Macaca fascicularis: one gene and its partners. The protein of the gene in region 2 interacts with the protein of the main gene of each other region in a biochemical or structural test. Links are inferred from orthologs where the notes say so. Each region holds a gene or a part of one and is shown on either strand. Other genes may lie near its edges. The genes, in order: CASP7, BIRC2 and CASP3.

Evidence for each region.
Region 1: the proteins of BIRC2 (region 2) and CASP7 form a complex in vitro, tested with the Homo sapiens proteins (2 studies listed by BioGRID, with this or other methods). The link is inferred for Macaca fascicularis from reciprocal best matches to the Homo sapiens genes BIRC2 and CASP7.
Region 3: the proteins of BIRC2 (region 2) and CASP3 form a complex in vitro, tested with the Homo sapiens proteins (3 studies listed by BioGRID, with this or other methods). The link is inferred for Macaca fascicularis from reciprocal best matches to the Homo sapiens genes BIRC2 and CASP3.

The regions. Positions count from the first base shown.
Region 1 is NC_088383.1:122,773,751-122,777,395, reverse strand, and holds the end of CASP7 (caspase-7), read right to left. Parts: intron 2,104-3,645; coding exon 1,874-2,103; 3' UTR 499-1,873; downstream 1-498. UniProt on the Homo sapiens protein: Thiol protease involved in different programmed cell death processes, such as apoptosis, pyroptosis or granzyme-mediated programmed cell death, by proteolytically cleaving target proteins.
Region 2 is NC_088388.1:101,357,480-101,361,831, reverse strand, and holds the start of BIRC2 (baculoviral IAP repeat-containing protein 2), read right to left. Parts: upstream 2,904-4,352; 5' UTR 1,876-2,903; coding exon 981-1,875; intron 885-980; coding exon 785-884; intron 1-784. UniProt on the Homo sapiens protein: Multi-functional protein which regulates not only caspases and apoptosis, but also modulates inflammatory signaling and immunity, mitogenic kinase signaling, and cell proliferation, as well as cell invasion and metastasis.
Region 3 is NC_088379.1:189,420,405-189,424,576, forward strand, and holds the start of CASP3 (caspase-3), read right to left. Parts: upstream 2,840-4,172; 5' UTR 2,772-2,839; intron 2,097-2,771; 5' UTR 1,929-2,096; intron 1-1,928. UniProt on the Homo sapiens protein: Thiol protease that acts as a major effector caspase involved in the execution phase of apoptosis. Following cleavage and activation by initiator caspases (CASP8, CASP9 and/or CASP10), mediates execution of apoptosis by catalyzing cleavage of many proteins.

The DNA of each region.
Region 1 (3,645 bases), on a different chromosome or scaffold from region 2:
CCTGGCTTCCCAAGTAATTACTTACTTATTAGTGTACTAACTTCAAAAACATTATATTATATATTGAGGTCAAGTCAATAGGGTCAATTCTTCTTCATCTTTTTTTTTTTTTTTTTTTTTTTTTTTTTTTTTGAGACAGAGTCTCACTCTGTCGCCTAGGCTGGAGTGCAGTGGCTCGACCTTGGCTCACTGCAACCTCCATTTCCTGGGTTCAAGCGATTATCCTGCCTCAGCCTCCTGAGTAGCTGGGACTACATACAGGTGCCCACCACCATTCCCAGCTAATTTTTTTGTATTTTTAGTAGAAGTGGGGTTTCATCATGTGGGCCAGGCTGGTCTCGAACTCCTGACCTCAAATGATCCACCCACCTCGGCCTCCTAAAGTGCTGGGATTACAGGCGTAAGCCACTGCGTCCAGCCAATAGGGTCAATTCTTACCCTGTTTTCTCATTTCTCCATTGTCATAAATGACTTCAAAAGGAAAGCAAACCGGACAGGTTAGGAATTAAGCAACCACATTTTTAATCAATACATATGAACATTTGTTTGTTAACCAGTTACTATTAGGCAGAAAAAAACAGTCATTTATCAAGATTTCAAAAGATAACACCACCTTGAAAATAAAGTGCCAAAAATCTTTGCCATAAATTCTTCCTCACTTATAGAACTAAAATTAACAAATATTTACTCAAAATAAGGCTTGGAATTATCTAAAAAGTTCCAGATATATTTTAAAGATTTAACAGATTTTGCACATAAAGCCAAGACAGATTGTTTTACACATACATAGACTATCTGACAACCCAATGAATAAATGATTGAATGGATGAATTGTTGAGCATTAGTGATTACTTATGTTCACATTATGGGCCAGGCTTACATCCATTTCTTGTTCTTCTCCTGCCTCACTGTCCCTTGCTCTTCCAAGGCCCTTGGTAAGGTGGCTTCCAGGTAGGCCTGGGCGGTAAGGTGCTGGTGGAAGATGTGAGGGCAGGAGAGGTGAGACCAAGGTATTCTCTGTATCTGACTCAGTTCAATCCATCTCAGGCAGTGGCTTTGTCCTTGTCATGGCTCCACTTCCCACAATCCATTAGTGGTCCTACCTCCCACTAGGCAGCCCCCACCATGGTTCCAGCTCCTCTGGATGATCCTACTACTAGACTCAGGAAACCAAACCTCTTCCCATTATCGTCACAGCCCTGGGTGTGTTAACAGCTTCTTGCTATTTGGCTTCTCTTTTATCATCTATGTAAGTCAATTTCCTGTATTAAATTCCCTCTGTTGAAACACCTAGAATGGTTTCTGTTTTCCAGACGGGATCCTGATGGATACATATCAGAATCATTTAGCTTTTTCTCCTCTTATCTGGAAATTTTTGCATGAAAATCTGCCCTAAGCCAGTGAAAAATCATTCAAATCACACTCAATACCCACATTCTGCAATAAAGGTCAGTAAATATCCCCTTGGCTGTGTTTTGTCAAATACTGGGATTCTCTTTGCCAAGTGCAAACATGACTCTGCCTACCACTGTTACCACCAATTACAGAGGACACAGCCACAAGCTTTCTCCAGAGGTCACTTTTGTTGCATGTATTAAGTCTAATAGGTAAAAGACATACAAAGAGAAAATTAATCTTAAGAGAAAGTTACACAGTTACCAAATGAATAACATTATTTAAAAAGTCTCTGAAAATTCAGAGAACAAAAGACAGCACCAGAAAGTTTCTTCCCTGTTGAATCAATACATTTTCCCGAAATGAAAATTCTGGAGAATTTCTGAATACTTCAAGAGCATCAAAAAAAAAAAAAAAAAAATCTGATTCATTAGTGATTGATCCATTGCTTCTCAGCTAGAATGCACCCCTGATATGGCTAATGACTGAAGTAGAGTTCCTTGGTGAGCATAGAGACCACACAGGGGATCTGCTTCTTCTCATGGAAGCGTGGGTCATCACACTGAGACTCAAAGTGCCTGGCGACTCTGTCATTCACCCTGGTGAGGATCTGCATGATCTCCAGGTCTTTCCCGTGCTCCTCCAGGATGGAGCAGAGGGCTTGCACAAACCAGGAGCCTCTTCCTGGGCTCCTCCACGAGTAATAGCCTTCAACAGGAAAGAAAGGAGATAATCAAATCAGCTAATTCTGACAGCTGCTCCACTCACCAATGAGACTGACTCTATGGGGCTTTTACACCTGCTTTTCAGAAATGATTTCACTCTACTCTGCACACAAGTCATTAATGAGAATTATGCTGGTGTGCTCAGAGAGCAAACATCTGAGATTTAGAGGGTTGGCATGAAGATGCTAGAAAATGCTTTGGGTACTTCACTACGGAAATCCTATGACAGACAACATCACTAAGGGCCAGCCTTGGTGGATGGTGCCAGGGTACTCTCCTGTGTTAGCCTGATGGAGGTACCCACCTGATATATATCAGATACATGAGTGTGAAACAGATCTGCACATGCAGACTTCCAAAGGAAATGCTGGAGGTCTATTCCATAACTCTGGAACTCCTCACTACCCTTTGGGGGTCAGTGCTACTTTCGAATCCAAATCTACTAGAGAAGGAATTTGCAGGGAACCTTGAAGATTTCTGAGATGTGTTCCTGCTGCTGGGGTACATGGGAGTAGAGTTGGACCTTGCTGAAGAAATCCAGAGGCACGAGGAAGCTGAATGCCCAACTGTCTGAGGGGCAGGGCCAGGAGAGCCTGATGCCCTGGGAGGACAAATCTCATCCTATAACTCCCTAACCTAAAACAGTTTGCTTGCACCACTTTATCTGGGTCAAGTTCAGGCTGCTTGACACAGCACACAGGGCCCGCCATGACAGGGCCACTTGCCTACCTGTCCTGGTTTGATCCTGGCCATGCCCTGTCACATCCAATGCTATGGACTGAACTATGTCTTCCCAAAATTCATTTATCGAAGCTGCACTCCATAATGTGACTGTGTTTAGAGGCAGGGTCTTTATGGAGGTAATTAAAGTCCGATGAGGTCACTAGGGTAGGGCTCTGATCCAAGGGGATTGGTGTCCTTATAAGAAGAGACACGAGAGACCTCACTCATTCTTGCTCTCAATCTCTGCCATATGAGGCTATAGCAAGAAGGTGACCATTTATGAGCTAGAAAGGGAGCCCTCACCAGAAAGTGACTTAGCCGACACCTTGATGTAGGACTTCCCAGCCTCCCTAACTTAAGAGAAATAAATGTCTGTTGTTTAAGCCACCTTGTCTAAGGTATTTTGCTATAGCAGCCCAAGAAGACTGATATACGCTGCGATCCAGCCCCGAGTTTTACCAAATGCACTGGGCTATCCGGCCCCTCAGTACTCCGTCGACAAGCCCTTCTCTTACCCATGTCGTTTGGAATTTTAGGCTCAGTTACAGCAGCTTCTTTTTTTATTGAGACAGAGTCTCACTCTGTCGCCCAGGCTGGAGTGCAGTGGCACGATCTCGGCTCACTGCAAGCTCCACCTCCCGGGTTCACGCCATTCTCCTACCTCAGCCTCCCGGGTAGCTGGGATTACAGGTGCCCGCCACCATGCCCCACTATTTTCTTTTTTTTTTTTTGTATTTTTAGTAGAGATGGGGTTTCATCATGTTAGCCAGGATGGTCTCAATCTCCTGACCTTGTGATCCAC
Region 2 (4,352 bases):
CAATAAAAAGACACTGCTAGAGATAAAGTGGCTAAAAAGAGGTAAATGACAGATTATAAAAAAAGAAAATTGTACAGAAAAAAAAACTTACAATTACAATTAAAATGGGCAGTCAGATGATGGAGTCTCGCTGTTACCCAGGCTGGAGTGCAGTGGCATGATCCTGGCTCACTGCAGCCTCCACCTCCTGGGCTCAACCGATTCTCCTGCCTCAGCCTCCCGAGAAGCTGGGACTACAGCCGTGTGCCACCATGCCCAGTCAGTTTTTGTATTTTTAGTAGATACAGGGTTTCACCATGTTGGTCAGGCTGGTCTTGAACTCCTGACCTCAGGTGGTCCACCTGTCTTGGCCTCCCAAAGTGCTGGGATTACAGGTGTGAGCCACTGCACCCAGCCAAGATATGCTCTTAATATATGCATTTTTACATTTGCCTTATTCCTGCATCCATTCTATGTCCCTTCTTGTTTTCCTGTTCTTACCTTTTTCTAACTTCTTTTTAATCTATTTTATATGTCTTTGTAATCCTTAAGTACTGTTTAAAAGAAGACGGGCAATAAATAAAATGTATGGCTATACTTGTAACTGACTTACAAAAGTACACAGAAGACTGCATAATATTTTTCAACAAAACAATTAAAGTTAAAATGTGATCTTTTAGAAGGATAATTCCCCAGCGGCACAAAAGAGGCTTTGTTATAATTTAACGGTAAACTAAATCATGTAAGCATGCCTACTTCTTTTAAGCAGAGTTTTTTGTACAAATACCTTTTTCAAAACAATTACCTTGGAAACCACTTGGCATGTTCTACCCATGGATCATCTCCAGATTCCCAACACCTCAAGCCGCCATCACAACAAAAGCATTTGACATCATCATTGCGACCTTCAAGAAAAAAAAAAAGACTAAATATTGAAAACACATTATGTTCTAATATGTAAATCAAAATAAAATGATAAAATGTAGTTATTTGCTTCTTACCCACATAATAAAAACCAGCACTTGCAAGCTGCTCAGGCTGAACTGGAACACTGGATGGCCAGTACATAAACGTTCTCATTCGAGCTGCATGTGTCTGCATGCTCAGATTTGAAATGCTAAACCTCAGCGTTTCTAGAGAATTTTCCAAAAATGGACAGTTGGGAAAATGCCTCCGGTGTTCTGACATAGCATCATCCTTTGGTTCCCAGTTACTGAGCTTCCCACCACAGGCAAAGCAGGCTACCCTATCTCCAGGTCCTATATAATAAAAACCAGCTCTTGCCAATTCTGATGGTGACAAAAAAGTTAATGGCCACATATGGTAGGTAAGAAATCGGGCTTCTTCAGTACTCATTGCATAACTGTAGGGGTTAGTCCTCGATGGAGACAAGTCTTCAACTGCTCTAGAATTAAGAGGGTTTGGTGAAAGGCTAGAGTAAGAACCACTGAACAAGCTACTATGTTCCAAGGTGGGAGATAATGAATGTGCAAAACTGTTTCTCATTGGAGAAGTATTCTTAGAGGTGGATCCCAGAGTAGCTGAAACCAGATTCTGAATAAAGCTACAGCTAGGATATAGTTGTTTATGCTTTTCAATAGGACTGTCTCCTAGTTTCCAGTTATCCAGCATCAGGCCACAACAGAAGCATTTGACCTTGTCATTCACACCAGTATAATAAAAACCAGCACGAGCAAGACTCCTTTCTGAGACAGGAACGCCGGTGGGGAAAGTTGAATATGTAGACATTCTGTAGAGTTCACAGGAAAAGTCATACTTCATTTTTTGTTTGTTGCTGTTTGTCCAATCTGACAAGATCGTGCTATCTTCCATTATACTCTTAATGTTTTGATACGAGGGACCTGGGAAAAGTCTTTGGGAGGCAGTTTTGTGCATGAGTAGGTGACAGTACTGTTTGATAGCTAAAACAGTCACATGAAATTTCTTCACACAAAATAAGATTTTTACCACAAAAAGAAATCAATGATAGACTCTTACGTAGAATTCACTACACTTTCTTTACTGGATTTATCTCAGTTTATATTCAGGTAGGATGAGTCTCTCTCTGAATTACCAAGATACTACTTGGAACACAAGTCTTTGGGGTTGTAGTAACTCTTTTAAGTAATCTAAGTGCTATTTGTTCATAATCTTGAGTAATACTAACCTAAAGCCCTGAGAGGTGGATGCCCTTTTGAAAATGTTGAAACTCCTTGATTTTTCACAGAGATTTATATTCTCAAAATTCTAAGCAACTACAGAATACCTAAATTACTCCTTTTATTTATATTTGGTTACAAGCTATGAAGCCTGGGTAACAGATCAATTACTGATTATGCCACAAGGTAAAAAATTACATGCAGGCTTCTTTCCCTATAAGCACTTTAATATAATGTCCCCAAAAAATCTCATTTTATTCCAATAAACAAAAGTAATTAAAATCTTCATATGGTCACACTATTTAAAGGCTAAGTTCACACAGCTTATCACCATAGTATTTACATAAGCGGGCTATATTACTTCAGCTGACAACTTTTGGGGAAGTCAACACCCACAAGCTTTGTTGAACCTGTGCCTGTTATAGTGTTTGATGTCAAATGAATTTGGCTTAAAGTTCACAAACTATAAACTCTTCTATCTTTGTTAAATATCATTTGTATTTGTTTCTATTTCCTGCAGCATGTTGACTTTCTTCCTAACTTTGTATACCACTTTATTATTCTTGATCAACTGAAGGTATTTTCTCCATAAACTTAATTAGTTAGCCATAAAATTTCCACAGCACACTTTTCACACTGCATTTAAAAACTAAATAACCTGTTCATCATTTAAGGACTATTCAGCTATAATTATCAGTCATGCTGTAAACATTAATCAATTTGTCACAAGACACAACTTGTCCTTTCTAGTGTTATCAGAAACGCCTAACAAAATACTGTATTACCAAAAAAGTACTGCTTAGCATAACGTATCAGTAATCAACTCTACTAGCCTTCTTTCTGAAAACTCTTCAATGTTTTAAAAATATAATTCATACACAAAATTACACTCCATAGAATTCAAACTATATCCCTTTATAAAGCTTCGAGATCTCCAAAATGGGATTTATTACTGCAAGGGGAAAGGGAGAGGAGGATTCTTCAGGGCTGTAAATCTGAAAAGAAAAAACAAAAGGTATTTTAGAAAACCGTATTTGCATGCCAAATAGAACTTACATACTCTTCAATTTATTCACTAAAGTCTAAGAATAATTTACATTTTAGATAACACATCTTAATTTCCAGCAATTTGTCACAACTTTCTAACTGAAAAAGCTCTTAATTAAAATAAATAAATGCAACATACTCCCATAGCACTAACTATACGTGTCTTTAAAAAGCACAACTTTAGAGACAGATGGAAATTTTCACACAGGAAAACATTTTGTCCTTGCTCTCCTCCCCTTTTCTGACCTAAAGGTATCTTTGGCACTCTGCTGGAGGCAAAGGAACATTGGTGAAAAAGGCAGAGAGAGCGACAAGGTACTCCACTAAACCCTGTCAACAGCAGTACAGCAGTAATCAGACAGCAACGTTAGTTTGTAATATCAAGTCTCTCCGCGACTAGGAAAACTGCAGTAAAATGTACCACGAGTTCATTAATATAAACCCTTAAACTCTGCCAATCCCTTACAATTTCAAAGCAACGACGGTAGAAAACAACCGAAAACAAAACCTAACACAGCGGCCTGTGAAACAGTGGCCTGACGCCCACTGGCATGATTGCTTTAATTACACGCGATTTTTTATATACTATCTTTAAACGAAAGACTTTTATCTGCGAGCACCGTACTGCAGCATTCTCTTTATGCAAACTGCAGCTGGACAGGGGATAGGATGGAAGAGAAAAGAATAGAAACTATGGGATTTACCCAATAATTACCCAGAGTTGTTTCTCACAATACACAACAGACTACTGGAATGACAGAGCGCAGTGGCAACTATGAAATATGAAATATCACCGCCACCGAAATATCTTCGTTTCAATGTATTACATTAAAAGAACGCCGAGGGCTGTTTAAAACCTTGCAAAAACTGCGAGAAAACATCTTGGTCAAAGTCCAAGGGCCAGAAGAGTGGGCGGCGGCCAGAGGAGGTTTGAAAACAAGTCATATTTTAAAAACGGCTTTGACTGCAAGTCTTGAAGTTTGGGCTTCCGAATCCAATAAAACCTTGGCGAGAGTAGAAAGCAGAGAGCCCCCGGCGACCCTCGACCCTTGGCCGAAGGGCCTCTGGCCCCTTCCTTCCTCGCCCGGCCGCCACATCAGGGAAGTGGGCCCCCGCGGGCCCGCGCGTCCCCACCCTCCCCGCGCCGCCCGAGTCCGGAAGGAGCAG
Region 3 (4,172 bases), on a different chromosome or scaffold from region 2:
CTGTCCTCCCTGTGCCAAGTGAAGTCCTAGGATAGTGTTTTTGGAGGGACAAAAGGAGAAAACGGGAAAGCCTTCACAGATCTAAATGATTTATATAAGTGTAAAATGGAGGATCTTGAATGCTTTTTTATAAAAATTACAGATAACATTAAAGGCTCACCACTCCCACCAAGAATGACTACTTTGCAGAATCAGATTCAGGTTTAAAACCGCTTGAAGAAACCCTACTGTCTGGAAGACTGAAACTGCCAAAAGTCAGATTCAGTAGCATCTATTCATTTGATATTTGCACCATAACAATTTACTGAACACCAACTGTGTGCAGAGTACTATACTAGACCCTGAGTGTATCAAGCAGTGGACGAGACAAACCCTATCTCTATGCAGGGCTTATACCGATGCTCACTGGCATTCAAAAGTGGCTCAACAAAGCAGATGCCAGACGGTGTCCAATACATATCAGGTAACTTGATTGCATTATTGTAATGCAAAGAAGCCCTACAGGCAACATGTGACGGTAAGAACAAAACATGCAGAGAAAGAACATTATATAAATCTAAGAATTCTCACATCTTTTTTTAGGCCCAAATACCAGTGCTTCCTATCTTTGGGGCAGAGCTTAAACATCTAATAGTAGGCACCAGAAGCAATGTAATATATCATTCATGAAAATAAAGACTGCTTTGTAGGGGGATGAAGCAGTAGGAGATTGTGTTAAATGAGGTCTGAAAGCAAAACAGTGAAGAAGCATTATAACTGCCTATATCAGATGCCAGTCTCTTCAAAAGGCAAGAGTCAAGGCCTTTATTCAGGATAGCAAAAGCAAACCTGATTTAACTAGGTACAATGTCTAATGTCTCTTACTCTGAACAGGTTTTATTGCCATACTCCAATAAACTGTTCGTGCATTCACTAAAATATATTTTCACTTTCAAAAACCTTCTTTTACAAAAAGGCAAAGCAAAACCAAAGCCCAAGCATCGGGCTGTGATAGAGATGATTTAAGCTTTACATTTCACTTTTAGAGATGATGTAACCACAGCACGCACACTCACAGTGGCTGAGCCCATTTTGATACAGTCTAGTCTAACCACCTTTCCTGGCCCTCTTTCTGCTATCTTGCAGGTTTACATGGTTTCAGTGACTCCATGTCACCTCTACCATTTCTTTTCTAACTATTATTTGCTAAATAATCCTAAACCAGGTCTACTTTTTCTAGATAGGGCATAAAAGTAAAAACACAACGGATGGGCATTCACTGCGTTGTGCCAGGGCCCGCATTTGGTGAAAGACTCTAAGGACACCAAGATAAACCAAGTCCATCCCTCCTGGAGTTTGCTTGCAAATCTAGCAGGGAAGACAGTAAACAAGCAACTGCAGAGGATATGACACATCTCTCTTAGGGAACGCTGGCTGCAGAAAGAACACAGTAGAGGAAGATTGAACCTTGAACTGTTTTAATGAAAACAGAAGTTTAAGTAGCAGCTCTTACTTCTAATCAAATGTGATGGCGGGAGAAGGGGAATGCAGAGGTGTGGCAGACACTAGCTATGAAGGTCAGCATTGCTGTGCAGAAAGTGAATCGGTGCTAAAGATAGGGAGGGGTGGGGGCACTCAGGACCCAACACGTACTGGGGTTTGTCAGCCGTATTAAGTGCTGGGTTTAACCTAAGGGCAAAGGACGCGCTTTCTAGACTTTCATTTCATAAAGATCCCTCTGTGCTGTGAAAAGTGGACTACAAAGGAGCAGGCGGGTCTGGAGGTGGAGAGACCAGGGAAGAGGCTGCTGTGGAGATGGAGAGACGTGGACAGACCTGGCAGACGTTTACAAGGTCGACAAGGCTTGGTGACTAAGCGGGAAAAGAAGTAGGTGGGCGAGAGGGGGGCGAGAAGGATGTTTTCCGGTTTCCTGCTTGGGTGCCACTTACTGAGAATGGGGGAAAGACGCAGGTGCAGAGCACACCCACTGAAAACAACAGCGCCGAGCGCGAGCAGGGCTCGCTCACTCCTCACGGCCTGGGATTTCAAGGCGACGCCAATCAGCTGTGGCCACGGAGACACAGCCACAGGGATGAGCTGTGAGCACTCACGAAACTCTGCAGGGCCGAAAAGGAATTGGATTTTAAACCCTGCAACTAGCTCTCTGGAAGAGCTAAACCACACAGTCAACCCGGGATAGTCCAGGCCCCAGGCATGGAAGGCAGCAGAGACGGAAGCCTCGCCCAAAATTGGAAGGATCAGCCCCGAGGGCGAGTCCCTCACAGTCAGCACCCGGCCGCCCCAGCCCTCGCCGCACCGCTTCCCGGGGCCACTCCTCCGCCGGCGGTAGCACCGTCTGCTTTCCAGCTTGCCGCTGCCTCCCGCTGCCTGGCCCGGCCTCCTGGCCCCAGGCCCGGCCGCCAGGTCTCTGGCCCTCGGAGTTCGGTGCCCCGTGCCCGACCTCCCGGCCCCGGCCTCGGTTCCCCCGGGCCGGCCTCCCGCTGCCTGGCCTCCCCGGCCCCAGGCAAGCCTCCCGCCCCCGGGTCAGGTCTCCCTTCCGATGACCTGAGGCCTTTCCTTAGGTTACTCCCAGGTCCCTCTCCCTAAATCAAAAGCCTTAACCCGCTGCCTGGCTGCCCCGGCCCCGGCCCCGGGCTTCACTGCTCGCTGCCGCCCCGGGTGAGGTGGCAAAACAAAGGCTCCGCCGCCCAGGTCCCCGGGCGGGCGCTGGGCCTGGGAGGACGCAGGGAGCGGGGACAGGGCTGACCGCCCGGAGCGAGCGCGGCACTCACCGCACAGCCTTCTCACACCTTCCACAACCGCCTCACAGCAGCAGCCACCCGTTACGATCCGCGTCTGCACCGCTTCAGCAGCCCGCCGCCTGGGGACGTGCTCCAGCGCTAGCCCCGCCCCCGGCCCGCCCCTGTCGGCCCCGCGCGCCCCCTCCCTGGGGCCCGTCCCCCAGCTCCCGCCCGCCCGAGAACCCAGGGCCGGGCTGGGCCCCAGGAGCCGCCAGCCCGCTGCAGCCCGCGCCCGCGCCCGCGCCCGCGCCCGCGCCCGCGCCCGCGCCCGCGCCCGCGCCCGCGCCCGCGCCCGCGCCCGCGCCCGCGCCCGCGCCCGCGCCCGCGCCCGCGCCCGGGTCCCCGCCCCCCGAGGCCCCGCCCCCGAGGCCCGCCCCCGAGGCCCGCCCCCGAGGCCCGCCCCCGAGGCCCGGCCCCGCTCCCCCGCCCCGGATTTGAAAGCTGGGTCTTCCTGAGAGTCCGCGGGCTTCCGCTCCCAGCGCGGGATTCTGGAGGTAATTTGAGGAAGAGTTGGAAACCGCGCCAGGCCCAACGGGGACCTAGAAGGGAGACAAGGCCAGGCCTGCTGCCCAGTGTGAGCTCTGAGAAGAAGAGGAGCGGGCCGGGACGCCCTCCGGTAATTTCCGTCCCCCCTCCGGTGACCTGAGGCCTTTCTTGGGGTTACCCCCAGGTCCCTCTCCCTAAATCAAAAGCCTTAGCCTCCTGTCGCCAGGGTGCCGGGCTAGTAATAAGCAGGTCCACGCATGCTGGACACACGGGCTCAAGCCACTCCGCGCATCAGTCAGTACTACAAACCGTACGCAGTAGTGTACTTAATCCATATATAAACGTTACATGTTAAGCATCCCACAGCAAACAAAGTAGCATTTAACATCCCGAGGAAAAAAAGAGAGAGGACAAAGAGATGAACAACCAATCCAGAGGAAGTGAAGAAGAGAAGAAGAAGCCTGGTTTGGGCCCGAGAGGTCCTTCTGCAGAGACAGCGTCAATTAAGACTGTTTGGAGCTGCCGAAGGCAGAGTCCGGGTGAGAACTGACAGTGGAAGAGGGCGCTTGTTTGTGTCCTTACCTGAGTGGATGCGGACTAGTTTTTTACTTGTTTATTAAAGTATAGTATCCTTGTTGGCAAATGCCCTATGAAATATAAAATGGGGTCTTTTCCTAAGATGGAGTTATTAATAGTTACGTGAAGGGTGTGCTATACACTGCCGTACTGATCCCCTTCCTATTTTGGGTCATGAACTCATTTTAGACCCTGAAGCAAACTGTGAATCGTTTTCGCAGAAGAATTCTCCAACACGTGAGCACGACATTCTGCATCAGATTTCAAAAGGTTCTTGACATTCAGAAGTCAGATCAGGGACCCCATGGCAGAGCCTATTTCTAACGCTTG